Linked DNA regions of Struthio camelus. The protein of the gene in region 1 interacts with the protein of each later gene in a pairwise test. Links are inferred from orthologs where the notes say so. Each region holds a gene or a part of one and is shown in the gene's direction. Other genes may lie near its edges.

Region 1 (14,258 bases):
GCTATTCATGGGAATTCATTAAGGATCTCTACAAACCCGGATAATAAACCTGCTCAAGAGCTTTCCCACTCGCTGCGAGGGCTGAGCCCCGCGCTGGCGTGCTTGGCCGACTGCAAGCGCTGTGCAAGCAGCTGGCTGAGGAGGAGGAGACGCAGGAGAGAAGGGGCCTGCAGCGACGAGCTGAACGATGCCCGTGCCCCTCCTTTTACCTCGCCTCAACAAGGCGAAGCTCGGCCCTGCCCGATCCCCCCGCAGGCGCCCGTTGAAAAGCGAGGGAGAACGCCGGTGTGCGGTTCGGCTGCAGAACAGGGCGCCCGCCTCCCGGCTGCTCCTCGCTGGGCCCGCGGGTCGGCCAGGCGGCGGGCCACCTCCGGGAGCCGTGTTTGAGGCAGGGCTCAGGCTCATCCCTGCTCTGCTGCCGTAGCAAGTCGTTTCCCCCCCTTACTCAACCCCCTGGGCAGATGGGCTGTGTCCGCTCGCGCTCGGCTGCCGTGCGCCCCGCTGCAGAGCGGGGAGCAGAGCGCTGGCCGAGGAGCCAGGAGGCTGGGGCGATGGCCTGGGCCGGGGGGGAAAGCCACGGGAAAGCGCTCGAAAGGGTTTATTTATCACCTGGGAAGTGCCGGAGCGCGTGCCAGCAGAGGGAGCTGAGCGTGCTCCTCATCCCCAAAACCCCGCAGCCCGGCCCGACGCGGCTTGGCCGAACCCTCGGGGCCGCGCGCCCCGCCGTGCCCCGACCGCCCGCGCTCCCCTGGCGCCGTTGTCTACCCACCGAGCCCTGGCCGAGGGGGCCTGGCGCGGGGTCCGGCGCAGGCTGGGCCGCTCGCCGCACGGCGTCCGTGGTCCACAGCATGGGGGGGGGGGGGGGTGGCACCGCGTCCCCCGGCCTGCGCCAGGGGCAGGAGCGCGGCCGGGAGCCCCCGATGGCCTGTGCACGTGTGTGCGTGTCCCGCTGGCCGGGACGGCATCCAGGGCTCTGCTCTCGTCCTGGTGTTTTAGGGCGATGGTCCCCACCGCCCCCCCCCCCCATCCGGGGGGCGCCCCGGCTGCGCGGCAGGGACGGGCCTGCCGTGCGGGGTGGGGGAAAAAAGGCAGCAAAACCCTCATGTTCTTTGTTATCTAATCTGCCCCGTTTTCCTTCCCCCGTGTTTACCGTGGCCGGGTTTCCTCAATTAACTCTGACAGCTGCAGGCTGGGCCGTGACGTCAACCCGCGCCGGTGAAGCCCAAAAACGCCGGCGAGGTGTCGAACGTGACCCGCCGGCCCTGCCCCGGGTCTGACCCTCCCGGAGCCGGGCAGGGGGGCACCCCGAGCCTCCCGCGGAGGCGAGGCCGAAGGACGGCCGGCGGGCAGACGCTGCTCCCGGCGCCCCGCCGCCGGGCGGGAGGGCTCTGCCCTCGCGGGGCGCTCGAACCCCGCTGGCTTTTGCCTCGGCGGCGGGCCGGGCGCTCGGCTGGACTTTGCCCGGGGCCGCGTGGGGCGATAGCAGCCATCTGCCTCCCGAGGCCGACGGCGGCGCAGCGGGTGCGTGAGCTCCCAGGTGGGAACGGGAGCAGCGAGCGGAGCCGGGGGACAGAGGTGCCGCTTGTTCAGCCCCAGCTCCGGCTCTCCGGGCTGCCTGCGGTGGCCAGCGAAGGCTCGAGCCCTCCGTGGCGGGCGAGAAGCGCGTGCCGTCATCATCCCGCCCGGCCCCCCGCCTCAGCCCGGGCAGCGGCAGGCTTCCTGCGCGCGGTGGGGCGACGAGGACCCAGCTCTCCTCAGGCGGCTCGGGACCGTCCCGCTTTGCTCAGCTCCGGCCCTGGGAGACGGGTGGGTGAGCGGAGGGCGCCGTGCTTTGCCGGGGCCTCCCCGAGCCGGGGGGACCTCTCGTCCCCCGGGTGCCGTGCTTTGCCGGGGCCTCCCCGAGCCGGGGGGACCTCTCGTCCCCCGGGTGCCGCGCTTCGCCCGGGGCCTCCCCGAGCCGGGGGGACCTCTCGTCCCCCGGGTGCCGGAGCTTCGCCCGGGGCCTCCCCGAGCCGGGGGGACCTCTCGTCCCCCGGGCGCCGCGCTTCGCCCGGGGCCTCCCCGAGCCGGGGGGACCTCTCGTCCCCCGGGCGCCGCGCTTCGCCCGGGGCCTCCCCGAGCCGGGGGGACCTCTCGTCCCCCGGGTGCCGGAGCTTTGCCCGGGGCCTCCCCGAGCCGGGGGGACCTCTCGTCCCCCGGGCGCCACGCTTCGCCCGGGGCCTCCCCGAGCCGGGGGGACCTCTCGTCCCCCGGGCGCCGTGCTTCTCCCGGGGCCTCCCCGAGCCGGGGGGACCTCTCGTCCCCCGGGTGCCACGCTTCGCCCGGAGCCTCCCCGAGCCGGGGGGACCTCTCGTCCCCCGGGCGCCGGAGCTTCGCCCGGGGCCTCCCCGAGCCGGGGGGACCTCTCGTCCCCCGGGCGCCGGAGCTTCGCCCGGGGCCTCCCCGAGCCGGGGGGACCTCTCGTCCCCCGGGTGCCGGAGCTTCGCCCGGGGCCTCCCCGAGCCGGGGGGACCTCTCGTCCCCCGGGTGCCGGAGCTTTGCCCGGGGCCTCCCCGAGCCGGGGGGACCTCTCGTCCCCCGGACGCCGGAGCTTCGCCCGGGGCCTCCCCGAGCCGGGGGGACCTCTCGTCCCCCGGGCGCCGGAGCTTCGCCCGGGGCCTCCCCGAGCCGGGGGGACCTCTCGTCCCCCGGGCGCCGCGCTTCGCCCGGGGCCTCCCCGAGCCGGGGGGACCTCTCGTCCCCCGGGTGCCGGAGCTTCGCCCGGGGCCTCCCCGAGCCGGGGGGACCTCTCGTCCCCCGGGCGCCGGAGCTTCGCCCGGGGCCTCCCCGAGCCGGGGGGACCTCTCGTCCCCCAGGCGCCGGAGCTTCGCCCGGAGCCGAGCCGGCCGGAGGCAGCGGCCGCCGCAGCTCCCCAGCCCTGGCCTTGCCCGAAGGCAGCGCTCGGAGCAGGGCCGGCAGGAAGCAGGCAGCGCTGCCCGAGAAGCAGGTTTGTCAGAGTTTTAAAGCGATCTAAATAAATACGATAAAACAATTATTTAAAGAGCAAACAAATGGAAACTGCTAAAGGAGCTCTTCCCCCCCCAACCCCGCCGCGGGTGAAGGGTGGTGGTGCCGATGCCGCCGCCGGGAGCGGGTCGCCGTAGAGCCGACGCGCGTCGGCTGCTCCGGCCGGCAGCTCGCCGGGATGAGCTGCCCCCGTGGCGCGGGCGGGAGGGGGCTCTGTTTGCTCAGCACCCGCCGAGCTGCCAAGCAGCCGCTGAATAACAGAAAGTTTCGTTTCATCCTACCAGGGAAAGGTTTTATGGGGCATCCGCAAACGCCCATCCCGCCGGGGCCGGGGTCGCCAGGAAGGCGAGCGGCCGGTGGCGGGACGGGGCTGCTGCGCGGGCGCCGCTGCGCGCCCGCTGGCTTCGGCGGGAGCCAGAAACCTCGGCTCGCTGCTGCCCGAGCCGCCCTAGGCCGTCGCCCCGGCGCCAGGTCCGGTGCGAGCGCCCGAGCGGCAGGTCGACGGAGGCGTTTGGGGGCCGCCTGCAGTTGGGAAGCCCGAGGAGAGCTCGGCTGGTGTCTCTGGGCCCCGGAGCGGCACGGGGTTGAGCTTCCGCTGAGCAGGGAGGTTTCGCCCTCCGCGCCGGTTCGGAGCATCTCCCTCTCCAAGTGTTTGGGCTTAAAACCCGGGTGATTTTGTGCAGAAGACGAGGCCGGGAACAAATTTGTATTTTTTAGTGGCAGCCACTGTGGGAAAGCCAGGAGCCGGAGGGTTTGCCGGCGCTCGGCTCCGCGCCGGTGCTGGCACGGGGCCCTGCCGGTCTCACCTGGCCGCCCGCGTGCGCCTGGGAAGGGCGCGGGGCGAAGGCGGGCGCCCGGCTGCCCGCCGCGGGGGTCCCCGCTCCCTCCTGCCTTTTGCCTCTCGGCCCCGGGCCGCGGCGGAGCCGCCGGCTCTCGGCATCCCACCCCCGACCCCGCGCCAGGGTCCGGCGGGGCCGGGCTGCCGCGAGCCGTCTCTTCCTGGCACCGCTGGGCCACCCGCAGCCGTTTCCAGGCTTAATCCCGAGAGACAAAAGCCGGAGTTTAAAGCGACCGGAGGAAGAAAAGAGCAGGGTATTAACGAAGGAACAGCAAACAGGCAGGTGCATCCCTGCGCCCTCCCCGCGCCCGCCTGCGTCACCCGGCCTCTGAGCTGGCAGCCCCCCGCCGGCGCTCCGAGCGGCCCCCCCTGCCCGCGCGTCCCCCCGCCGCCCGCTAAACCGCCTTTATGGCAGCATCTGGGAGACGGGGAGGCCGGGCGAGGGAGGCAATAAACGGGAGCGGCTCCTCGCGCCGGCGCCCTTTGGGAAACGGGCGTTTTTGGCTGAGGGGAGGGAGGGCTTTAAGGGGCTTCGGTTGGTCCCCGCGCTGGCGCCGCCGGGCCGGTTTGAGGTGTGCGGTCCTGCTGATGCTCCTCGGGGAATAAAAAGCGTGCAGGGTGGTGAACGCGCAGCCGCAAGTCGCTTCTCTCGCCCTCGTTGGCCCTTTGGTTACGCTCAGGGTGGAAAAACCTCGGTTTTCCCTCCCAGCTGCGCTCCGAAGGCAGCCGAGCTCGCTCCCGCTCGGCGGCACGGGGACCCCAGTGCGGCTCCGCTGCCGGCCGGGGCCGCCGCCGTGGATCACCGGCGCGCGGGACGGGGCGGCGCCGCGAGGCAGCGGGGACGGGCCCCGTCTCGGCCATGCCGCTCCGCGCCGGCGCCTCTTGCCGGAGCGTCTCCAAAGCTTTGTGTGCAAAGGCCGGCCTGCCCGGCGCGTCTCCCTGGAAAGCGGGACGGGCGGTTCGAAGGGTGAGCCGCAAGGAGGCGAGGGGATTTGAGGATGGGCAGGGAACGGGGGATGCAAACCGGCTGGGAGCTGGGATGGGAAACGGGGCCGATATTCCCATCTTCTGCTAAGCCTGCTGCCCTTTGGGGGCAAGAGGGAGCCAGGAAGGGCTTGCAGGCGGCTGGTGAGACCTGCAGCCACCGTCCCTTTACCCGCTGCTCCCTCCGTCCTTGCTGCGCTCCCGTGTCTGCCGTCGCCGACTCCTTTCTAGGATCGCCGGGAGCGCTCCGGGCTCTGACCTTCCATATATGCCTTCGCTTGACATAACACAAGAGCGGCAGTGATAAACCCTCTTGGTGCAGGCTGGGAGGAAACGTGCCGGTGTTAGCAAACATCCAGTGAAGAGCAATTAAGATTACGGGCGGCAGGAGGGGAGCGAGCGGCAGCCGGTTCCCGGCAGGACCCGTCCCGGCACTTCGGCCCCGGGATCTCCGGGCTCTCCCTCGCGGCGCACCACGCTCGCCCGGGTTTCCCTGCCCCCTGGCAATTTTCCCCTGGTTATTTCTGGTGGGTTTGAAGCCATTCCCCTTTGGTTGCGGTTAAAGCACGAGAAAACCCACGCTGCAGCCTGCAAACGGGGGTTCGTCTCCTCTCTGGACATCACCCCTGCCGAGCCCGGCAACGAGGGCAGCAGCGGCGCGGGCGATGCAGGGCGCAGGGCACCCGAGCGGGCCGGTTTGCTTTGCCCGGGGACCGCTGTCACCACCAAACCCCGGGCGGGCTGGCAGGTGAAGCAGGAGAAACCCCGCCGCGGCCGAAGACCAGGAAACGCCGTTCGGCTCTGGTGACAAACCGCTGGGGCTCGACCGTGTCTGTGGTTTCTGCGATGACATCAAATCCCTTCGATAATTTTATTATGTCCATATATTATATGGCTGCTTATCTGTTATTCTTGTGATAGAGCCAGAGATTAGCCGCAGGTGGGTGGGCAGGGAGATTCTTCCAGCCTGAATCACAAGCAGTTTCTCCAACTTTCCCCTCCGGCCGGCTCGCCGAGCGCTGAAGGTGAAGCAGCGGCAAAGGCACCGGAATTGCAGGCGAGCAGTTGGCAGAAAGGACAAGGAAAAGCACATAAAACTGCGCACACACACGGCAGAGAAGCCAGACTTTATTTCCCCTCTTCTATTGTTCCTCAGGTGTTGCAACCTATTCTTTTCCTGTTTTGCATATGTAACCAGAGCTGCTTTGAATAGCAGTTGTGACCCCGCCGGGATTGCGAAAGGTGGGAGGCTCGAACGCACCACGACCGCCAGCCCGTTGCACCGAGCGTCTGGAGCCGCCAAACCTGCTTGTGGGAAGGAAGTGGGAGCAGCTCCGGCAGGCCTGCGGGTGGGCAGCGCCGGGCTCGGCCCACGAAAGCGCCCGGCCGTGTGTCACCTCGCTTTGGAGGGATTTGGGTTTCTCCATCCGCCAAGTGGCAAACGCTCTCGGCTTTGGCTGAAAGTGTCAGGAATCGCCTTATCCAGGTGCTGGCTGCTGTAATGCTCTTCCCAGGCTGTTGCCTGAGGCACACGTGTGCAGGGACACCGGGGCGCCCTTGTCACCTTGGCTGCATCCCGCCAGCTCCAGGGCCGGAGCCCGGCCCGCGGGGAGCCCCGCGTGGCACCTCTGCCTGGGTCATGCACTAGCCCATCTGCAAATGGGATCGACGTGGTTTCAGGCCAGGCCTGACATTAGCCCCAGGTCCCCTTTGCCAATTTTGGGGGTTTTCTGTGTTTTCCTTGCTCTACGTCTCCGCCGCCAAGCTGGCCAGCTCTCCCAGACCTGCAAAGCAAACGCCTTGGAAAGCCAGGCAAACGTTTTTCCTTTTAATTTGTTGCTTATCAAAATCTCCGGGGCTACTGATAACAGGAGCAGGGAAAACATTTTCAGACCCAGACGTGATCTTTTGAGCTGATCGAGGGATCCCAGACAGGCTGGGGGGGCCGGTGCTCAGGATGCTCCTGAGCAGGGACGCGGGGCCAGGCGCCTCCAGCGGCTCCCTTGGACCTGGGCATCCTGCTCCTGCCTCTTTGTCTGCTGCACCCAGACCACGCTCTTCTCCCCGTTGCCGTGTTGCTGTTTGCTCTGGTAACGAGTGGTAATTAAACCTAATAAGAGAGGGAGACCTGCGGGTGATGTCACGGCGAGGAGGCACGAATTCAGCTTGCACAGCCCGTGCAAACCGCTCTGCAAACTTTCCTCCAAGGCGGCGGGGTCAGCGACGTGGAGCTGGCGCTCGACCCTCGCCGGAGCGTGTCCCTGCGAGAGACCTGGAGGAGGCACGGTTTTGAGGGAAGAGCTAATGGGATTTGTCGCTTAGGACACCAGGAGCAACGCGGTTGCGGCGTTGCAATGTCTAACGCAGGCGGATGAGCGGGTTAAGCGTGGCGGGATGCCGTGGAGGAGCGCCTGCAGCTGGGCTTAGCACCGACCAAAGCAGCGGCCGTGAGATTGAGCCGTTTTTCCTTAACGCCTTGGAAGAACCCGCTGTGAGCGGAGGCTTCCCAAGGGGCCCCAGCTCCGCCGCCGGAGCTCAGCAGCTAGAGCAACCCGGAGCCGGCGGGGGCAGTGGGCTCCGGAGCGAGACGCGCCTTGCCCGCCCAGCCCACGTCTCCTTCCCGGCAGCCGCCACGTGTTACGGGTCCGGCTGTATTTACCAAAACAGACGGGAGCGAAGCTGCCCTCGAATGGCGAGAGCCGTAGTCTGGGGAGAACATTTTCCCCGCCGATAAGATAACATTGAGGCGTTTCGAAAGGGAGGCAGAAACTCCTGGCGCGGGCAAGCGGGCGGCAAAGCCCCGCGGTGCCCTCTGCTAACGCGCCGCCGCGGCCCGGGGAGGCGGTCGTGCCCGGGTCGCCTTTTTAGGGGGTTTTATTTTTTTTCTCCCCCCTCCCCTTCCTCCCAGCAAGCAGCGCAGGGCCGGCGGCGAGGACGTGGAGCCGGGCTGAGCGGCGCCGGGGGGAGAGCGGGCGGCGCAGGCACCGCTCGGCCCGGGTGCGAGCCGTCCCTGGCAGCCGGGGCGGCCGAGAGGCCCGGGGCCGCCTCGCGCCGCGGGTATTTACGGCCAGGGTTGGGCTGGGTTTTGCCTGACGCCTTCTCAAAACCGTGGGGTTTTGGGGGCCGTGGGAGAGTTGGGTTTTTCCCGAGCTGTCCGTGGGAGAACGGACTGAGCTGCGAGGCGTTCCTGCCGTGTTCAAAAGACAATAAATACCAACTCGGTGTCTGTCTCGGTCAAAACAGCTTTTTCCAGCTCGTGCCGGTGAAGACGCACCAGGCCTTGAACGCCCCGCGCCGGCTCCGGGGCGCAGCAGCCCTTCCCGCAAAGCGCTCCGGCCCCGCCGGGGAGGAGGGTGCCGCGTCTCTGCACCGCGGCGCTGCCGGAGAGCGGCGCGAGGGTCTCCCGGCGCGCGCCGGGCCCCGTGCAGCATCCTCAGGAGGCTGGAGCATCCCCGGCTTGGCGCTCGCCGCCTCCGCCGCGGGTCCTGCACCGTTGCCCTCGCCTGCCTCTCGCTGATTTGCACCCGGCCCGGCCGGCGCTGGAGCGAGTTATTTTGTGCGCGCGAGCCGCCGGCGGCGGGGGAGCAGGTCCTCTGCGTCGCAGAGCCCGGCGGAGCGGCCGGCGCGGGCCGAGGTTGGGAAGGGGTTAACGGTGCCCGGGTCGGTCCCGCTGAGCCCGGCGCGCTCGACGCACCCCTCAAGGGTTAAGCCCCGCTTGGGATATTCAAACACCTCCAGCTGAGGTAAGCACACAGCTTGTTTGTTCAGGTAAATAAGGAAGGAATTAGATATAATGGGCACAGGAGGCATTCGCTGAGCGTTTTGCATTCCCGGCTCGGCGGCCGGCTTCCCCCTGGCGTACCGCGACACCCATGCCCGGCCGCTGAGCCCGGCCCCGCGCGGCCCTCGCAGCCCCCCGAGAGCCGATGCGGCGCGGCCCGGCCGCCCTGCCGCCGTCGGGCCGGGGCTGAGCGCCGCTGGCCGCCCCCCGTCCCCGCGCCGGGCGCCCCGGGGCAGCCCCGCCGGGGCCATGCCCGCCCCGACCGCCGCGCCGGGCGCCCCGCGCACGGCTCTCGCCGCCGGCCGCCGGCAGCCGGGTGCTTTCTGAGCCGGGCGCGCACCGTCGAGGTAAGCCCCGGGCCCCCGTTGGCCCCTCTGCCCGCTCCGGACGCGGGGTCGCCGTGCCCAGCGGCGGCTCGTCCCTGCCCGGCTCGCGCCGGGGCGAGGGTACCTGCCGGCGGGAGGTTTCTCGCGCTTCTTGCGACGGCGTCGGCCCGGATGAAGCGGCGTTCGCCAACCCCGACCCCGACCCTTGCAAACCGCCCCCCCCTCCCGCCGCTGCTAGAGGTGGGGAGGCGGAGCGGGGGGCCGCGGCGCCGGGGTCCTGCCCGCGGCGCTGCCCCTCCGGGAGCCCCGCCGGCCCCGCCGCCTCCCGCGCCAGCCGAAGGCCGACGGGCGCCGCGGCGGGGAGGCAGCGGCCGTGGGTCGGCGCTGCCTTCGGGGAGCCGGCAGCGCGGGGGGCGTCTCTGCCAAGGGCTTTTAACCCTTTTAGCGGAGCTGCAGCCTCGTAGAGCCGCTGTGCTTCCCCCCCCCCCGCCCCCCCCCCCCCCGGTGCCAAAGGCAAATTGGCTCCAGGTTGGATTTTTATGGTTCTGCTCGGTTAGTGAAACACAAATGCCGCTCGGCTGCCAAATCCCCCACAATACGGCCTTTCTCATGGGCAGGAGGCTCCGCGGGGCCGGGAGCTGGCAGGGGCAGGGAGCCGGCGCTATAAAGAGGGGCGGCCGGGCTGGCATGGGGAACGGCAAGCTCCGCTGCGCGCCGGCGAGGCGCCGAGGCCGGCGGCTCCGCTCCTCGCCTCGCCGCCGGACGCAGAGGGCAGCCCGACCCGGGGCGCCCGCCCGGCCCCCATGCAGGTAGCGGCGGGAGGAGGCGGAGGGCGGCGGGACCCTCCAGGGTGCCGGTGGCACGGCGGAGGAGGGCTGGGAGCCGGCACGGAGCAGCCCCCGAGGCGGGTCCAGACCCCCGGTGCAAGGCTGCGTCCGTCCGTCCGTCCATCCATCTATCCTGGGGGGGTTGTGCTGCCGGGGGCTCTGCGCTCCCAACCCTGTCGCCGTGCAGGGCCCTATAGCGAGACCCCCGGGTCCTCCACATCTCCAGCCCCCCCGAGCAGCAGCCCAGAGCCCCGAGCTCCCACCCCGACCCCAAAAAGCCTGGGAGCAGGCACCCGTTGCACTGCGGGGAAAGAGGTGCCAAGTGGGACCAGACCCAAGGGAGAAGGAGCAAACCCCAAACCCTGCACCCAAAAGGGCTGTTGGGCAGGGAGGGGATCGCTAGGCACAGTGGGGTCCCCCGCGAGACCCCCGTCCTCTGCCGTCCCCAGGGTATCGGCTTGCAAGAGCCCTCCTGGGGGTCTGCGGTGGGTTTGGGGGCTGATTGTGGCCCCCCGGGCCTCACAGGGCCACGGTAGGAGCTGCAGAGAGCCCGTGTGCCCCGTGGGGCTGCAAACGTGGGAGATGCAGCCAGTTCATGTTTTCCGATGAAAAACACACTCCGGCCAGGGGCAGAGGAGCCCCTGGGCCCCTCGCGCCCCCCGTCCTGCGGCCGCAGCGCCCGCGGCCTCCTGCCGCCCCGGCTCGCGTTGGGCTCCCGCGCCGGGGGTCTGGGAAAGCGCCCCGGGATTTGGGAGCTCTGCTGGGCAGCGCCTCCTCCCACCGCCCCGGGCCAACCTCCGCGGGTCTGGGCCGTCCCCCCCGGGCTTCCCGAGCTGTGCTCCAGCACAACCTGTTTAACCGCAGATTTAATTTTAATTAACGGGCCCATTGTTTGAGGGTGCTTGGTTGGATTTTTTTTTTTTTTCGGTTGCTTTCTCTGGAGTCGCTGGTGCAGGCTGTGCTCAGGCAGCGGGGCAGGTAGTGCCGGGGCAACCGACCTCGCCGCCCTCCTCATCCTCCCGGGGCTGGAAACGGGGACGTCTCCCGAGACCCGTCCTGCTGCTCTGCCGCCCGGCTCCGCCGTCCCCCTTGTTGCACCAGGCGACCCCAGAGACGCGGTGCTGGGTGGATGTGGGTGCTGCCGTGCGGCTCTCGTTGCGGTCGGCCACGAAATCTGCCGCTTCCCGCGCTCCGGTCTGGGGCAGAAGCTTCTTGCTCCAAGGGAACCTGTTGACTTGTTTTTGCCTTTGCAGTGGCTTGGAGAACCAGGGCAAGCAAACCGCGCGGGGAGCCGGCGTCGGAGCTGGCCGGGGCCGGGCGACCGCTGCTCTGCCAACCCCGGTGGCACCGCACGCGGAGGGGACGCGTCGGCTGCCTCGCCTCCGTCCCGCGGTACCGGGCCGCTACGGCACCGGCCGCCGGAGCCTGCGGGGAGAGCTGGCGGCGGCGGCACGTCCCTCGTCCCCGTCCCGCACCGCGTTTGCTGATGTGGGCTTTCCCGCGGGCCCAAAAGCGGCGAAGCCGGGCAGCCCGGAGAAACATCCCGCTTGTTTTTTTTGCACGGAGCCTTTTGCCCGTGCGGCCGGGCCCCTCCGGGCGCCGCTCCCGCCAGCCGGGCCTCCGGGCGGCCGCCGCGGGAAGCGAAAGCCTCCGAAGCCCTGGGGCCCGGCGCCTCGTCCAAGTCGGTGGCAGTTGTTTGTTTAAAGCGTGGCAAGAGCTAATTCCCTAATCGCTTCCTCTCCCGCCCGCAGGGGCAGGCCGAGCCGGCGGGCGCTGCTTCGCCGGGGCAGAGCTGCCGGCGCCGAGCTCCCGCGGCTGCGGCGGCGGCGGCGCGGGGGGCTCGGCTCGCCCCGAGCATCCTCGCGCGGGGACGCGGGAGCGATGCCGCCGCCGCTCCGGCGGGTCGTCTTCTTGCCCAAAGCGGCTTCCGAGAGCAAACACGTCCCCACCCAGGCGGCGGAGCCGGGGCCGCGCGGCGGCCGCCTGCGTGCCAGCGCCGGGGAAAGGCAAACAGAGGCCCTCGCCCTGCGAGCGCCGCGCGGCTCGGCCGGAGGGCGCCCGGGCTGTGCCGCCCCGCGGCGCCCGGAAAGGCGGCCGGAGCACCGGGCAGCGCCGGGGCGGCAGCGGGCGCGAGCGGGGAGCGCCGAGCCGCTCTGCCCCGGGGCGTCCCGGCGGAGGGGCAGGCAGCGCCCGCGGCGCCCGGCGCGTCCCGCAGGCTTCGGCTCGGCTCGGCCCGGCGCGTGGCAGCCCGTCCCCCTCCGGAGCAGGCGGCCGGAGCGGCGCAAGCTGTCGCCGCTTCCCTTTTGTGCCGGGAGCAGCGTGAGGCTGGATTTAGGGCTGATCTGCTAAAGCTCTCCGTTTAATCCAGAGCGAATAAAGCGGAGGTTTGGAAGCGGGCGCCATCTCTCAGGGAAACGGGCCGGTGGGGAGGTGCTGGGTACCTCCGTGGAGCCCTGACCCCCTTCCTCCCTCCTCCTCCTCCTCCTCCTGCTCGCTCCAGCCTTTGCGGTGCCACCGAAACGGCCCCGTGCGCTCGGTGGCTGGCGCCTGGGATGGCCCCCGGTCTGCGGGGCTGGGCCGGGGCGTCTCCGTGCGCGGCAGCGGCTCCCTGGCGCAGGGCCGTGCCGAGCCAGGCGGCTCCGCGCGGCTCCCGGCATCCGCTCCGTTCGCCCTGACGAACCCGATGACGCGTTTTTCCCCTGCGTTATTGAAACCTTCCTTTCCCTTGCTGGGATTTGGAGCAAAGAGGGAACGAGCCCGGCGGCCGCTCCGTCGCCAAGGCTGGAGCGGTGGCCGGGATGCTCCCTCTGCTTTTGGGAAGCGCCAAATCACGCGGGTGGGTTTTTTTCCTCCTTGTGAAAAAAAACCACGACAGAAGAGCTGGAGGCAGGCGAGGAGGGCTGGGACGGCAGCGGCGCCCCGGCCGCCGCCGTGCCCTTCGGCAGCCGCTCCGCTCGCAGGCGCCTTGTCCTTCCCGAGGCCCCCGGCTGCCCGGCCGGGAGCTTCCTCCGTCGATGGAGACGGTTCCCAGCGTTGCCACGGCAATTCGGCAGGCTCATCCTCGTCTCGGGGCTCCCCGCGTCCGCCAGGCGGATGCCCGCCGGCTAATCCGGGGCGCTCGGGTCTTGCAAGAGAGTAAAGAGACAGTTGCCACCGCGGGGGTCTGCAGCGGGCGGCCGGGAGGCGGGCGCTGCGGGGGGCCCGGCGCCGAGCTCGGTCCCCTGGCCCGGGAGAGCCGGGTTTGGGGCACCCTTGGAGCTGGGTTGAGGGCGTTGGGTCATGTTTCCACGCGCGGAAACCTGCCCGCGTGGCTCAGGTGCACCATTTAACCGGCCCTGCTCAGGCGCTTCGGAGACCCTCCGGCGTCTCCCGCCGCCTCCTTGCAAGCGCCTCCAGGCCTGGTCGGCACGGGAGCGCTGCAGAGCCGCTTTGCAATTCGTGGTCCGGCCCGAAAAGCCGGCGGCGGCAGAGCCCCGCGCGCCGCCCGCTGACCCAGAAGCAGGGCGGCCGCCCCGCGCCGCGCCGGGCTCCTGAGCCTGCTTTCATCCGGGGTCCCGCAGGGCGCCGGGGGGCTCTTGGGAGGGTTTTTCTCCCCCCCTCTAACAGGCTTAGCTGCCTGCCTTTGTGCCTGCCGCCGGGCGGCATCGGTGGCGGGGCCGGGCGCGCCGGCGATCCCGCTCTCTCCTCTCCCGGCAGGCTCGGAGCCAGCGCTGAGCAGCGGCATGGGCAGCGCCGGGCCCGGGCTGGCCGCCCCGCCGGCCGGCCGCGGCGGCACCCTGCAGGACGCGGCCCTGCTGCCGCCGGCACGGCAGCCCGGCGCCCGCGGCTGGGCGAGCACCGGCAGCCCCAGCCCGCCGGCCACCCCCGAGCAGAGCCTGCCCGCTTTCTGCCTCCACTACTTCGACATGCTCTACTCGGAGGAGGCAGCCTGGGCGTGCAAGGGCCCGGGGGAGCCGTCGCAAGGCAGCGCCCAGGCGGGCCGAGGCGAGGTGCCGAAGGAGCCGGAGCAGTGCCCCATCATCGACAGCCAGGGCCTGGGGCTGGGCGCCGAGCTGGACTTCCAGGGCAGCCTGCACCTGGAGGAGCACTCGCTGGAGCAGGTGCAGAGCATGGTGGTGGGCGAGGTGCTGAAGGACATCGAGACGGCCTGCAAGCTCCTCAACATCGCCGCAGGTGGGTGGCCCCGGCACCCGGGGGGCTCCCGGCAGGCATCTCTCCCCGGCAGGCCCCCGGAGCAGCCCTCCGCCCACGGGGGGTGGCAAACCTTTCAGCAGACCCCTCTGCGGAGCTCGGGGAACCGGATGGTGCAGAGGCGGGGAGGGCAGGCGCCGGGACACGCGGACCCGATGCCCCGTCTGTCCCCGCCGGCGGTCCCTTCCCTTCCCCAGGCCGCGGTACCGGGATGCGTTTCAGCGTCTCGTGGAGGGTGAACGGTAGCGAGGAGCAGGCGGCGCCCGCTGGGACTTTTTTCTCCTTCCCTCTGTCTCGCTTTCACC
Region 2 (14,818 bases), on another chromosome or scaffold:
GCCGAGCGCGGCGCGCCGCCCCCAAATCTCGGCAGCGCTCTCCAAATCTCGGCAGCGCTCTCCGGCGGGGCGCTCGGAGCGGCTCCCGGCCCGACGCTTCCCCCCCCGCCGGCGCTCAGCAGCGACCACTAAAAGCGACGCGAGCTGCACGTCCCGCAGGGCCAAGCAGAGGGCACTGCTGGCTAATGCTTCGGGCCGGCGCTCGGGAAAACCGGAGCTGAGAAACTCGGGGCTACGGCTGGGGGCCGGACAGCACCAGGGCTGGCTGTCGCCGCCGCGGTCCCGGCCGGCAGGGACGCGTTTCCAGCGGGGCTGGACGCTCCTCCGACAGCGCCCCGGGGCTCGGCTGGACACCCGGCGGAAACCAGATACGTCGGGAGATGCAGTTGCTCTGCTGCCGCAGGAATGCTCTGGTGTAAATGACCGACAGGGGCTAGAAGTAGCTTTCTCCTGATTTCATCTAACCTAGTTAAAAAGAGTAGTAATGTCCCTGGGTAGTTACAATTAAATTAACTTGCCAGCCAAAAAGAAGCAGATGATTTATGACCGTTTACGATCGATCTTCTCAGTCTTTTCGCTGGAAGTCCCCGCGGGGCCTGCCGTTGCCGAAACGGGGCGTGCTGTGCGGCGGGCGCGAGCTGCCGCGCTCCTCTGAGATTCACGGGCGTGGGAGCTCGGCCGGGCCCGAGCCGAGGGCACAAGAACCAGCGCGGCCGCCGAGCTGTCAGCTGGGCAGATGCTGCTGAGATGACGTACGAGTTTGACCCAAGCCTGCTGCTGAGCCAGAAGCCATCTGGGCTCCGCGCGGGCGCTGAGCGGCGCCGGAACCCACCGCCCCAGCACGGGGAGCAGAAAGGGCCCTTTCTGCCCCAAACTGGGCCCAGCCAGGTGAGGCCACGGCCACCTGCGCCAGGTGGGATCTTCCTGGGGGATGCTGAGGTGACCGGGACTAATCCAGCCCCTCCAGCCTGCTAAGCTCCGCTTTACTTTCCTCTCCCCCAGCTGGACCGTCCGGCCCTCGCTCAGGTGAACTCTGGCGTCTCCATCAATCTCTGCGGCGCAGCGTCATTGGGGGGGGGGGGGGGGATAAAGCTGCTTATCCCGAGTCCTTCCGGCTCATCTCGGTTGCAGCCAAGCATTTCACCTTGGCGCCGGCTGCCTCCTGCCACCAGTGAGCTGAGGTGTAACGTTACTGCCCGTTTGCCCTCGCCTTTTGGTGTTTTGAGGCCCAAACAAGCCATGCAGAGGTGGCAATGAGTCCAGCTGGGGAAGAAGCGGCCAGGGCTGGCCAGTGCCTCCCAGCAGGGCCGGAGGCAGCGCCTGTCCCGAGGGCGCCAGCCCCACACCGGGCTCCGGAGGGGGCACAGGCCTCAGGGACGGGGAGGTGGCAACGGCGCCTGGCAGAAGCCTCCCCATCGCCTGCTCTCCTCTGGCACGCCGTTTCGCCCTGTTTTGCTTAAAAACGGCCTGCGTGGTCGTGCCGCACCGTGCTGCGGCAGCCTCAGGAACACCGCGGCCTTCCCGGTGCCTGGGGGCTCCCGGCCGGGCTCTGCCGGGCCCCGCGGGAGCACGGCGCTGCCAGCCCGGAGACGGCATCTCTGGGCCCAGCGTGAGCTCTTCACGCGGATGGTGGTCGCAGGGCTGCTAATAATGTGACTGGTCATGGTTTGCACGCCGTGATGCCAGCGCATTGGCACAGATATCCCGCAGGCATCAACACCTGCAATACCAACAACACAGGACACAGAGGGTGGGAATAAACCCATGCGTTAAGCAGAAATAAGGATGGACCGAGAACACTTTTCTCCCCCAGCCAGCGTATTTATTTTCCCTCCCGTTTCAGCCCCTCATTTCCTTGCCTGCCTTGGGGTAGTTTATTTATTCAGCCTCCCCTAACAGTCCAGTTCGGCTCTGTTGGTGGTGTGGGAGATACCGACCCAACCCAGACAAAAACTCGCTGCGCTCTGTCATGGCTATCAGCAAACACCCCCCCGCCGAGGCCAGCCAGGAATTTTAATGGCCGGAGCCGCTCGCTGCGCCCCGATAAGGCCGGCGGGGCCCCGTGGCAGGCGGCCGCCATCGAGGGCCCCCCCGGCTCCTTGACTCCCTCGCTCCCCCGGCTCCCCCAGCTCCCCCAGTTCCCAGGGTCTCCCGGCTCCCCGGCTCCCCCCGCTCCCCAGCTCCCCCGATTCCCCGGCTCCCCCTGGCTCTCCGGGTGCCCCCGGCTCCCCCGGCCCGCGGCGGCGGCAGCCCCGGAGCGGCGCTGGTGGGGGCCCCCGTCGCAGCTAGGTGGTCGGCGCCTTATCAGCCCTTATCTCCCCTCGCCGCTCGCTAATGTGACCTTAATGGAGGCTAAAATCGACACGATGTGTTTTATTGCGGCTTAGCCCGAATCCACCGCCCCCCCGGCCCCGGCCCCGGCGCTTCCCCTTGTTTTGGCAATACGGAGGCGGCGGGCCGAGGGGGCTGGCTGCCTCCCGGCCCGGCGGAGCCCGCAGCCCCGGGGCGGCGCACGGCCGCTCCCCCCCGCCCCGGGACCCCCCCCCCCCGGGCTGCCGCCCCCCGGGCGCGGCGGCGGGGCCGGGGGTGGCGCCTGCCGGGCGGCAGGAGGCCGGGCAGAGGCGGGGAGCGGCCCCGGTGCGCGCAGCCCCGGCGCGGACCATGCTGCCCACCCCTTTCTCCGTCAAGGACATCCTCAGCCTGGAGCGGCCGGACCCCGTCGGGGGGCTCCGCGCCGCCCCGGGCCCCGCTGCCGCCGCCGGGGATGCGCGGAGCGGCGGCGGCGACGAAGAGCCGCAGCCGCGTAAGTGAGCCGGGAGGGGCAGGGAGCGGCCCGCAGCCCCCCGGCCCCGGGGCCAAACGCCGCCGGGCTCCCGGGGGCTCCCGGCGCCCGCGGAGCCGCGGCGGGGCCGGGCAGGGGCAGCGCGGCCGCCGCCCGCCCCTGCGCGCCGGGAGCAGAAGCGAGCGCAGTTTCCGCGCGGGGCGGCGGGCGGGCGGCGGAGCCTGTCGCCTCTCGACGGAGGTTATTTTCCCGCAGTTCGCGGTGGGAAATGTCGTTTTCCCTCCTCCGGCCCGTTTCCCAGGGCGGTATTTCGTTGCGGGCGTGTTACCCGCCGCCCTCCGAGCGGCCCGCCGCATCCTGCCCTGCTGCGCCCAGCGCGCCGCAGCCGGGACGTCCCGTCCCTTCGTTTGCAGCACCGCAAGCTCCCGATTGCCACCTCGCCCTAACGAGCGCCGAACTAAACCGTAACATAAGAATAGGCTATTTTCGGTTAGCAACGAGACCTGCTGGCGGGCTGGCGCCTCCCCTCTCGGACGAGCGTTTGCCCCTCGCCCCCCGCGCAGACCGTCGGCCAAAGCCGAAAAACCGCCCGCGCTTTGGGTGCCGCAAAAGCCCTAATTCGATGCTGCGCAAATTTGTCGCCGCCGCAGCCCCGCCGGGGGGTCTCAGCGCCCTACGGCGACGGTCGCTGCCCGGCGCCCCTCACCGTGTCTTCGGCCGCCGGCACCGGGACGCGCCGCGGGAGCCGCCCGCTGGCCGGGGCCGGGCGCGGATCCTGCGCTCGCCCCGCGGAGCACACAGACCGGGGAAGGGCCGGGAAGCAGAGCCTGAGCCCAGGCACGGGGGGCCAGGGCGGCCGAGGGGGAGCGCGGCCGGCCGAAAGGGAGAGCAGCCCGCGTGAAACCCCAACCGAGACGAAACAAAAACGAAAAATAACCCGACTTTGCCTCTTCTCGCCGATCTAACAATTTCCCTCATTCATTCGCAGCCCCTTCGTTGCTCTAGCAAAGAGCTGCCAGATTCCCCTTCCCTCGGGCGCTAGAGGAAAATCCTGCCCGAGGACCCCTTGCAACCACTTCCACCTGCTCCAGGGCAGAGGGACCGGGATGGGGATTTGTGCTTGGGCGGGGGGGTGCTCAAACCTGCGGCCACAGCGTATCCTGCTCCTCCTGCGCCCCTCTGGGCTGGAGCTGCCACGGCTGTGGCACCCACAGCAGCACCGACACCCTTAGGAATGACCACAATGAAGCTTTGGCTAAAATTCACGCGACAGCTAGGCTTCTAATTCCATCCAAAAAGGGGGGGGGGATTTTCTTGACTTTCCATTGAACTTCATATGAATGCTCATATTAAATTCGGCAAATGGATATGCTCCTTCATCTTATTCCCGAGGGGCCCCGTTCCCCATTTGATTCCTTCTCCAAAAACTCACCTTCCCTGGGAACAGGACCGGGGTCGGGTCTCATTTTGCTTTGGGTTTTTCTCACTGCAGGAAATTGTGTGATCTCCCGCTCCTTCGAGGCACACGACACCAAAGCCGACCCCTGCAACCCTCCCAAGCAGCGGCAGCGCAGAAAACCCAGGGTTTTGTTTTCCCAAGCTCAGGTGTTTGAACTGGAAAGGCTGTTTAAGCAGCAGAAATACCTCTCCGCTCCGGAAAGGGAACACCTCGCCAGCCTGCTCCAACTCACCTCCACGCAGGTGAAAATCTGGTTCCAGAACAGGCGCTACAAGTGCAAGAGGCAAAGGCAGGATAAGTCCCTGGAGCTGGCTGCCCAGCCGCCGCCGCCGCCGCGGAGGGTGGCCGTGCCGGTGCTGGTCCGGGACGGCAAACCCTGCCTGGGGGGCTCCCCGCCTTACTCGGCCCCGTACAGCGTGGCCGCCGGCCCTTACGCCTACAGCACCTACTACAGCACCTATAGCTGCAGCCCCTACGGCGCTAACTACGGCTACGCCGGGGGGCTGCCGGCACCCACCGACACGGCTCCCGCCAGCCGCGTCGCCAACACGAGCTTTGGGGTGGCCAGCGCAGCCCCAAACCAGCCCCCGCACTTGCAAGCCGTGGTGCAAGCGGGGATCAGGGCTTGGTAAGCGGCCGCGGGAGCCAGGATGGCGCCGCGGGAGCCGCCGCGGCACGGCTTTCCCCGGGAGGGGAGCAGTCCGGGGCCTCCGGGGGTTTCTGCCACCCGGGGCGGTCGGACGTGCCCTGCGTGTCCCCGCCGGGCCACGGCGGGTCGGGAGAGCGGGCCGCTCGCCTTCCTCACTGCGGCTTTGGGGACCGAACGACCGCAGGTGCTTATTTATTTGAGGACAACGGGCCCGGAGCCTGGCCCTTCCCGCTCCCACCGGGGTTTGCTCCTTGGGGACGCCAGCGGGCAGCGCTGGGAAAGCTGCTCTTCTTCTAAGGCGACCGGAAAACAGGGTCTGTGCGCATCACTGTGCCTTTGCTTTTTTAATGAACACTGTATTTAATGCTTAGAGTTTCTCTTTAATCTTCTGAGATATATTTCTGATTTATATTTCTTAATATCTTCCCAGCACCGATTTTCATTTTTGTTGATATTATTATTACTATTTACAATTAAAAAAAAAAAATTGGTGAAAATGTGCGTTTTCCCTCTCTCATCGCTCTTCAAAACCTAAGGTTTTGACTTTTCCCAGCCACAATTTGCATCTGAGTGCCAGAATCTGATCCAAAGCCAACACGGAAATCCATCTGAACACTAACAAATGACCCAGAAAGGATATTGCCCAGCGGTCCAAGCACTGCAGCTCCCAAAGTTTAACCTCTGTTGGTGAGTTCCCCCCTCTCTAAACCCTGGCAAGTCTTTTAAGGTCCCGGTTGCTATTTCCTTATTGGTAAAACAGCTCAATATCTGCTTAACAGCTGATCTGGGTGCCCCAGATCCGCATCTGGCTCTATAGGCATCAAGCCTTTTGATGGGTAAAAGGAATACATATACATTCTGTACACACACACATACGCACACATATGCACACACCCTTGTACGTGTAATGCTGAAGAGCCGCATGGCCTTGCACGGGGCGAGGGCTGGGGCTTCACAACCCCGACTTCTGCGCTGGCGTCGGGGCCGGGGAACGGGAGACGCGCTCCAGAGAGCCACCCTTGCCGTTTCGATTGTTTTGCAGAGAATTTTTTCAGGCGACTCTTCCCGTCGCAGCGTGGGCTTTGCCTTACCTTTCTTTTTTTTTTTTTATTAGTTCATATGCTTTTTGAAAGGAAAAACCCACTGCTCGAATGATTACTTTTCCTGCCCATCACAACGCCCAGGCAGGAACTAGGATCCCAGCAGCGTCACTGTTACTAAACCCCGACGCTTCCAGCCTCGCCGTGAGAGCAGCAGGGCAGGCACGGTCCTACAGGCCGCTTCTCCTGCCACGAGTTTGTGAGGCCTCTCTCAGAGCACCTGCAGCTGCCGGCGTTAGCGGGCGCTGCAGGAGGCATCAAAGGGGAGCACAGCCGATACCCTGCACAAGCGGGATGAATCCGTGAGTTACACTTGCTCAACTACCCTGTTAAGGCTATTTTGAGAGCTTGGCCACGAGGGGCTGCATTTCCCAAGGACTTTGGCCTGCACAGGGCGAATCGGAGCTGCTGCAGCCCATCGCGCCTTGCAGAAGCAGGACACGCTGAGGAGCCGCTGCCTCCTTCCTCGTCCCCCTCTCTTCCTGCCGCCTTCTTACCCTCCAGGAGAGGCTGGCAGGAGGCCACTGAGGTTTTACCGCACACGGCCCCATCACTCCAGCTTTCGCTCGCTTCCCCGACGGGCCGTACCTGACATCCAAACCAAAGGAGAGAAACCTGCTCGCGCCCCCGCCGCGGACGCCAAGGGAGAGCCAGCGCAGCCAGCAGCATTTCCAGCACCGGGGCTGAAGCGCGAGTTTAACAGCGCCGAGCACGCCCGGGTTTTTTTGCGTTGAGGTTCGACAGCAAAACGAGGCAAGAGCAAGAGGCTCCAGGCTTGTGCTGGAAAATAAGAAATTATTCTGCCCACATTAGAAATTACCCACTCTGCCAGCCACTACAAAACCGGGAAGATCTGTCCCAAACACGCCTCCCCCCCCCAAACCGGCCAACCTTTGCGTGGCCAGCCGCAGGGGGCTTGCACGAGGCGAGAAACGGCCGCGGAGGGGTGTTGCAGCAAGGGGCTGCAAGCGCAGCATCCCTGGCCACGGCCGGCCGCCAGAGCCCGTCCCGGACGCCTGCTACTGCTCACACCGAGGGCTGCAACGGGGCGAAAACGGGCCTGGCCGAAAAAGTGCCGTGCAGCCAGGCGCGAGGGGTCGAGCAGGCGGATAGGAGCGGCGCTAAGAGCTACGGCAAAGCTGTCGCTGCAAAGCCGCGGTGTAGCAGAGCAGCCCCGCGATACCCCGATGCCCCTGGAGAGGGGCAAACAGCCCAGCTGCAGGCACAGAAACCCTCCAGCTACGTCTTCTGCTCACACGCTTGTGCGGCTGCCTAAAAGCCCAAGTGCTCCGGCGCGCAGCGGGGGAGCGTGCACCGAGCTCCTAACGTCTGCGGCACCTGGGAAACAACCAAACGCCCCTACTGCACCTATTGCAACCTTCGTCCTCTCAGAGGTTGAAACAGCAACGGTGACGGCACGAAAGGACGGAGCTGAGCAAGGGGACAGAAGTAGCCGGCTCCGAAATGAGGCACAGAGCTCGCGCAGCGCTGCGCCCGCAAGGCACGGGGGCATCGGCCGCACGGTCCTGCCCGTGAGCCCTGAAGCATGGCTGACTTCGCTGCAGCTCCTGGTGCAGGTTGTGTCTTCTGGCCCTCTTTGCAAGGCAGCCGGTGGGCTTCGGAGGGTCTCGCTCCTTGCTTTGCCGGCGCTCGCCGGCTGGCTGTCAGCTCCGCTGCGACACAGGTAAGGATGCCTGCCAACGTCGCCTACGGGGCCCAGGGGGTGCTGCCGCGAGCGAACGCGCTTCCCGGGGGACACGGTCCCAGGGCCAAATCCTGCTCTGCCCGGGGGCGTCCCCCCCCGGCTCGCTTGGCCTCGCTTTGCCGTGATTTTTTTTTTTTTAAAAAATCACGTGCTGGACACGTTTGCGGATGTGGCTAGGGATTTTACGTGCAGAAGGGGAATTTGTCGTGAAAACAGAAACTCTAGGAGTCTGACGCATCGACGGCACGTAGAGCGCGGGTGCTGAGGAAGGGGCAGGCGCGACACAGAGGGGGCGACCGGGGCGGCGCGGTCCGGCCGTCCCCGTCCCGCTGGGCGCCCTGGAGCCCGGGGCCTCGCCGGGGCCGCGGCTTCTTACGCAAACGCTGTCCCAGGCTACAGGTGGCTGAGGTCTCGCGCTAAAATTATGCTTAATTTTTCATGCTAACGCCGCCGGGGGCCCCTTCCTGTGCAAGCGAGCGAGACCTCTGCCTCCGATCTGCTCTCCCGCTCCATCGTGCCTTAATCCGCATCCTGAAGCCCCTTCACAAAGATAGATGAGGGGGTCTTTAACATCTTTTTCTCCTTTTTTAAACAAACTGAAAGTTCAAAGTGAAAGTTTTGGAAGGAAACCCTCAAAACCTAGATAAGAAGAAGCTTTTTCCTCTTTTTTTTTTTTTTTTTAACCCTCTTAAAACTCAGCATTCCCACGGAGCTCTAGGGCCGGCCCGGAGGACACGCAGCACCTCCCCAGCTGGGAGCAGGCAGCGCGCGGCCGGCCCGGGCTGGAGGACGGCATCGTCCCGGGACGGGAACGCCGCCCCGGCGCCCCAAAACCCCGTCCGCAGCGATGCTCCGGCTGCCGGGAAGGAGGCAGCGGCTCAGGGTTATTCCAACCGCCGGCGCCGGGAGCGCGAAAGCTCCGGGGGGATCGGGAGGCGGCGGCGGTGGCTGGGATGCGCCGCGCTGCGGGGCCGGCCGCAGCATCCCGGGCAGCGGGAGAGCTCCCGGGAGCCGAGCCGGCGGCGCAGGGCGTAGGCTCCCGCCGGGATCTCCAATCAGGCCCGGGAGGCTTGGCTGCCGGCTGTATAAACGCGGCGCCGGGCGGGCGGGCGGCCAGAGCGCTCCGGGCAGGGCGAGGAGGAGGAGGAGGAAGAGGAGGATGAGCGCCGGGGTGCTGCCTCCAGGGAGGCCGGGAGCCCCCGGCAGTGCCGAGGCGGTGGGAGGCCAGCGGCACCCCGGGGACCCCAACCCGGCCCGGCGGCAGCCGGCAGCGGGGCCGAGCCCCACGCGGGGCCGGCAGACCATGCCCGTCCTCTCCAGGCCTCTGACATCCTTCCTCATCCAAGACATCCTGCGGGACGGAGCCGAGCGGCGGGAGCTGGACGAGAGCCAGGGCCGCGGCGGTGCCGGCGGCCGAGGGCTGGGGGAGCCGGGGGCGGCCGAGGGCCGCGAGCGCCGCTCGGCTCCCGGGGGTGCCGCCGGGGACCCCGGCCTGAGCCCTCGACCCGAGGCAGCGTCGCCGCCCCGCCAGCCCCACGCAGGTAAGGGCAGCAGCCTCGGCCGGGCCGCGAGCCAGCGTCGGCGGCGCGCAGCTCGCCGGAGGGGCGTAGCGTCGGGGCAGGATCCCAGCTGCGCCCAGCACCGAGCCCCGGAGCCAGACTACCGGGGCGTTCGAGGATATCCGTGCTTTAGCTGCGGGAAAGCAACCTGGGCATCAAAGACCATCCCCGCTTCCACCGTGGGAAACTCAGAGGAAGAGCAGCCGGGCGCGTAGCTTTAGCCAGGCTCTTCCAGTAGCGCCCGGTACCGATGCTGCCTAAAACTCTGCTGGAAAAAGCCCGCTCGAAGGATTTCTGTGCGATCTTGGCGGAACTTAGTTCCCTTTTAATTCAGACCCCCCCCGCCCCCGTCAAAGACGTAGCTTGTGCCTCAGCTTTTACGCCGCCTTCGGCGCGGCGATGCAGCCGCAGCGGGCGTGCGATGCCTCCGGTGCAGCCACGCTTTGAAGTTCTCCGTGTTGCATTTATGCCCTTTGCCGTGGGGCTGCTTTCCTGGGGGCTCAGCACCGCTCCCAGCACCCTGCACCTCGCCGTGTCCCTGCCCGTCACTGACACGAAGCCGCTCTGGCGTTTTTATTAATCTTTCTAGCATTGACCCGCTAAATTCACTGGTCAGAATAACATTTCGCTGCAGAACTCACATACCGAAAAAAATCACATGCAGAAGCAATTTGTTGAATGGTGCCTCTGGCGCACCAAGAGCCCAAGGGCAGAGGGAGCCCCGGGCAGGGGATCGGCGTTTCCCGTCCTGCAGCGCCCCGGGCGAGCGGGCCGGGTGCTGGGCTTGGACGGCCAAAAGCAACGCTGAGCTCTCCAGCGACCGCCTCGCGCTCGCTAGCGGAGACCTTGCCAGGGGAATTTTGGCTTTGCGTTTCGATGCTATTAAAAGAAGCTGCTGCACAGAGCAAATTCGGAAACATTCACCAGGCTGGTTATTAAGAAAAATCATTAAGCCCCCAAACCAGCTCTTGCAGAATGGAGCTGGTGCCGAGCAGCACCGCTCTGGGGATTTCAGCGGGACTGGGATGATTTACACAAGCTGGGAATTAAGCCCATTGTTTCTATCTTAGGCATTATGTTCACATCTTAAGAAAATATACTAAGAAATAACCAAAGAAGAACTTGGCCTATTTCCATAGCAAGCTGAGTAATACACCAACAGGAACTAACTCCATAAATAAATTGACTTAAAAAGTTTTGATAGTTGCAGGTGACACTTCCCAGGGGCAGGAAGAACACGTCCACTTGTATTTTTGATCCTCCAAGGCATCTTTCAGGCTATGGTTTTTTGGTAAAAAGAGCCCACAGCTGAGAAATGGAGGTGAGCCACTAGCTCTGCGGCGCTCTGCGCGAGCTGTGTGCGCTCAGCACCTTCCCGGATCACAGCTCGAGTGACTGAGCGATGCCGCGGGAAACAAGCCCGAGGCAAATCCCGGGCTGCTGCTTTGGCACTCCGGCTGTGGTCCGAGTCCAGCTCTGCGGCTGCGTACGATGCAGTCAAGCCGGTCCTGAAGATTTAGAAAGCCTCGAGACAGCGCCCCAAAACTTCCTGGCATTGCCGCGCGGTCGGGAACAAGAGGGAAGAGGGGAGTCGCTTTCAGTGCTTTCTAATTGCAGGCGGGTTTAAGCTGCACTGATTTTACGTTTCTGAGCTAGAGTTTAAGGAGAGGAACATACTTTTTTGTGGAGGCCGGGATCTTCCCGTAGGCACAGGCGAGGGGACTTTGCAAAGAAGTGCCCGGCATCGCGAGCTCTGCAGCAAAACCCCCAGAGCCGCCAATGCCGTAACAGTACCTGGGAGCGTCAGGCGGGCCTCACCCGCGTGGCAAAATGCCCCTCACTGCGTTTTTCTTTTTTTCCCCCACTAAATATTTACTTATATGAATTAAGAATCTATGATATTAGGGGGAAAAAAAGAAAAAAACCTTAGGCAACTTAATGCACTGCTCCACTAACTAAAAAGTGGCAATATGAATATTTTGTGCTTTTGGAGGGGGGAGGAAGAGTAATTTGGGCAACTTGCAGAGGGTAATTCTCACCTCTTTGCTGGGCAGCGGCGGCGGCGGAGGAGCCCTGCGCGTCGGAGCGCGAGAGCCCGCCGGGCGCCCCGCGCTGCCCTCCGCGGACCCCCCGGCAGCAGAAGCGCTCCCGCGCCGCCTTCTCCCACAGCCAGGTCGTCGAGCTGGAGCGGAAATTCAGCCACCAGAAGTACCTGTCGGCCCCGGAGCGCGCCCACCTGGCCCGGCACCTGCAGCTCACCGAGACCCAGGTGAAGATCTGGTTCCAGAACAGGAGGTACAAAACCAAGAGGAAAGAGCTGGCGGCCGAGCTGCGCGGACTGGCCAAGCCGCCGGCCGGCCCGCTGCCCCTCGCCGGCGCCTGCCGCTACCTCCCCTGCCTCTCCTACCTGAGCGCCTGCAGTCCCTCCTGGTGGTGAGCGCGGCCCCCTTGCCTCTTAAACAGTTTTTTTTTTTTTAATGCTGTGTTGCTTTTTCTCATACTAATTGGGGATGGGGGTGGGGGGTGGGAAAAAGGCGCTTCTGACTTGGTTCACAGCAACGCTCGGCGCCTAGCTGCCATGCGAGCCTTTCTCACCACCAACCGTCCGGGGTTATAAAACGCAAAAAAAAAAAAAAAGCAAAAAAAGGCAAAAAAAGAGCAAGAAAAATGCAAAAAAAAAGCAAAACCCCCCAAAAATTGCAAAAAAAAAAAAAAAAAAAAAAGCCCAAGCCTTCCAAAGCATCTAATTCGGCACACCGAATAGCGCTGCTCCGCGGCGGGGCTGCGGCTAGGGGCTGGTGCCGGCTGCTTGGGGGCAGCAGGCGAGGCACGGCCACGCCGCCCGCGACGCCGGAGCCCTGCAGCTCGTAAAAACCCACAAGCGACTGGAGGAAAAAAAAAAAAAAAAAAGGAAACCAAACGACCGCCGTTGCGTTTCTCCCACGGAGAGCGTCGTTGCTGCCCGGGGGGATGGAGAGCGGCGCCGGCCGGGCAGACCCGGCCCCGGAGCTCCGGGCACCTCGGGGAGCCCGGGCCGGCGGCCGGGAGCGGCGACAAGAGCGCGGTGACGGATGAGCTTTGCATATCCGGCTGCTGACGCCGGTCGGCGGGTTTTTTACATCCGCGCTCTTTCAAGCAGCCCAAGCGCAAAGAGCTCGGCGCGCCGGGCGGCTTTGGCAGCAGCCAGCGCGGCGGCGGCGGGGGTGAGAGCGGCCGGCGGAGCCCGGTGCTCCCCGGCCCTCCGGCCTGCCAGCAGCAGCAGGCAAAGTCTTGCACCGGCGACTTTTTAAGTGAGGCAATTACTCGGGCGGGTGGCAGAGACGGCTTCGGTAGCTCATCGCGCTTTAAAACACGAGATGCTGCTAAGTCTAGGAGAAAAAGCGCAGAACCCGATGGAGGAAGGGCGCCCGCCGGCGGCAGCGAAGGTGCCCGGGGCGTTTCTTCCCGCGGCGCCCGCTCTCCCAGAAGGAGGATGAAAAGCAAAATCCCCAGCGATCAGGGTAGGGGCAGAAACTGCTGGGGTCACCGGGGCCCCTGGCGCTCGCCGGGGAGCAGCCTTTCCGCCCGGCGGCTGCAGAAGCGCCTCGCCGAGCGGGGAGCAAGCGCTCGCCGTCCGGCTGCCGGCAGGTAACCGCCGGTATCCGCAGAAAACGCCTCCTGCCCGCCCGGGCGGCCCCCGGTGCGGCGGCCGTCTGCTCCACGCCGCCGGGGAGAGCCCGCTCTTCCGCGGCCGGGAAAAGGAGACGGACGTACGGTGAACTTCTCGGACGGTTCGCTGGGGAAATGTTTGTGTCGTGGCTGCTGCTGCTGCTTTTTTTTTTGTTTTGTTTCCCCCTATGATTTTTTTTTTTTTTTAATTCCCATTCGGGGTTTAGGACCAATAAAATACCCTTCTTGCTGCTTCAGCACCAAACTGCTCGTACTTCCTTCTGCTGCCAAGGCCAGCGCCCTCGGTCGCTGGTTTTGCCTGTATTTTTTGATACTGTTTCACGCGATGTCCTTCGGAACAAGGAGCGCAGAAGCGAGCCGCCTCCGCGGGGTCTCTGCTCCGGGGCTGGATTTTTCTGCTCTGGATTTTCTGTGTTAATCTTGTCCCCATATATTTTGTTACTCCTTTAGGGGATTTGGATACTTGTGAGGAAGAAGATAAGTAAGTACGCTGGGCACGTCCTGAGCGCGGGGGCCGGCCGGGGTGGCAGAAGCGCTGCTTGCAGCCCCTAGCGGAGTCGGCGCCTCGACAAGAACCGAGCAAAACCCGTCAAATCGGGCTGCGGGGCTGCTCTGGCTCTGCCGCTTGGCGAGGGCGAGGACGGCCGCGGCCGGGGCAGGGACGGGACGGGAGCGACCTTGAGGCCGGCCGGCCGGCCGCTCTCCCCCCGCCGCAACCCCCTCGCCTCCGCTCCTGCCAGCGGCGGCTTTGCAGGGCCGGGAGAGCGAGCCGAAATAACCGCTTTTACCCTCAGCAGGTTTTTTTTTTTTTTTTTTTTTCCTTACTGCCGTATTTAAGCCGAATCCGCCGCCCGACCGAGCCGGGCACCGCGATGGCGAAGCGTGGGCCGTCCTGCTGCGCCGAGGTGGCCCCCCCCAAAACCCGGCCGCCGGGCCGGTCCCTCCGCTCCTCCGCAGCCCTTTTCCCCTCCATCCCCAAGCGTTTTCTCCCCGGCGAGAACAGAGACTTCCGGCTGATTTTCTTTCCCCCCCCCCAGCCCGAAACACAAAGCACGAGGACAAAAAAAAAAAAAAGATGGGGGCCGTAACGCTCTGCTGACCGCATGATGCAGGCGCGGGCGCGAGTGCGTTCATGGCAGCGGCCGGCCCTTGATTAACGCCGAGACGAGCGATCCCACCCTGACGGCGGGGCCGCGGAGTTTTAATCCGCCTTAACGAAGCACACCTCCTGTTTGCCCGCGGCCGGAGGCAGAAAGCAGCGTTTGACGTCCGTCAATCAGCGTCACGCTCCGCCGCCGGCGTATCCATCAAGACTGAATAGCGTCTCACGCTGACATAACATTTACGCTTGCTTGTGCCAAAGCGTTTATTTGAAGCGAGGGAAAAGGGCTGCCTTTGGATAACGTGGCTGTTGACTAACATTTGCATGCGCTAAACCGCGTAGCTGGCAACGGCGCGCGGGACCGGCGCCAAGAAAAATCTCCCGCTTGCCCTGCCCGGCCTTGGCGAGCCGGAGCAGCGCGCGGGCGGCCGCGCGGGGTCCGGCAGCGGCGGCACCCCAGCCGGAGACCGTTCTTACCCTGGGTGCTCTCCTCGGCGCCGCATCTCTCGCCAAGCCGGCCGCAGCACCGCCGGACGGCATCGCCCGCTCCCTTCGCTGGGCCCGGCCGCCGTCCCCGGCTGCTTTGCGCTGGGGGAAGCCGAGCGGTGCGATCGTCCCGGCGGATTTTCCCCACCGCCTTCGGCCGCAGGGGGAAGGGGAAGGGGAAAAAAGCGGGTGGCTTTGGGGAACGTGGGGAAAACCGCAGGTGTGGGGACCGGCTCGCGCGCGGTTCCCGCGCGGCGCTCCGCACGGGCCCAGCCGCCCTCCTCCTCCTCCTCCTCCTCCTCCTCCT

What was found.
Region 2: the proteins of SPDEF (region 1) and NKX3-1 interact in a two-hybrid assay, tested with the Homo sapiens proteins (2 studies listed by BioGRID). The link is inferred for Struthio camelus from reciprocal best matches to the Homo sapiens genes SPDEF and NKX3-1.

The regions. Positions count from the first base shown.
Region 1 is NC_090965.1:5,525,644-5,539,901, forward strand, and holds the start of SPDEF (SAM pointed domain-containing Ets transcription factor), read left to right. Parts: upstream 1-8,886; 5' UTR 8,887-8,956; intron 8,957-13,458; 5' UTR 13,459-13,484; coding exon 13,485-13,935; intron 13,936-14,258. UniProt on the Homo sapiens protein: May function as an androgen-independent transactivator of the prostate-specific antigen (PSA) promoter. Binds to 5'-GGAT-3' DNA sequences. May play a role in the regulation of the prostate gland and/or prostate cancer development.
Region 2 is NC_090968.1:5,033,709-5,048,526, forward strand, and holds NKX3-1 (homeobox protein Nkx-3.1), read left to right. Parts: upstream 1-8,827; 5' UTR 8,828-8,854; coding exon 8,855-9,236; intron 9,237-11,308; coding exon 11,309-11,691; 3' UTR 11,692-13,167; downstream 13,168-14,818. Other genes in the region: NKX2-6 (homeobox protein Nkx-2.6), read left to right, coding at 2,662-2,803, 4,275-4,873.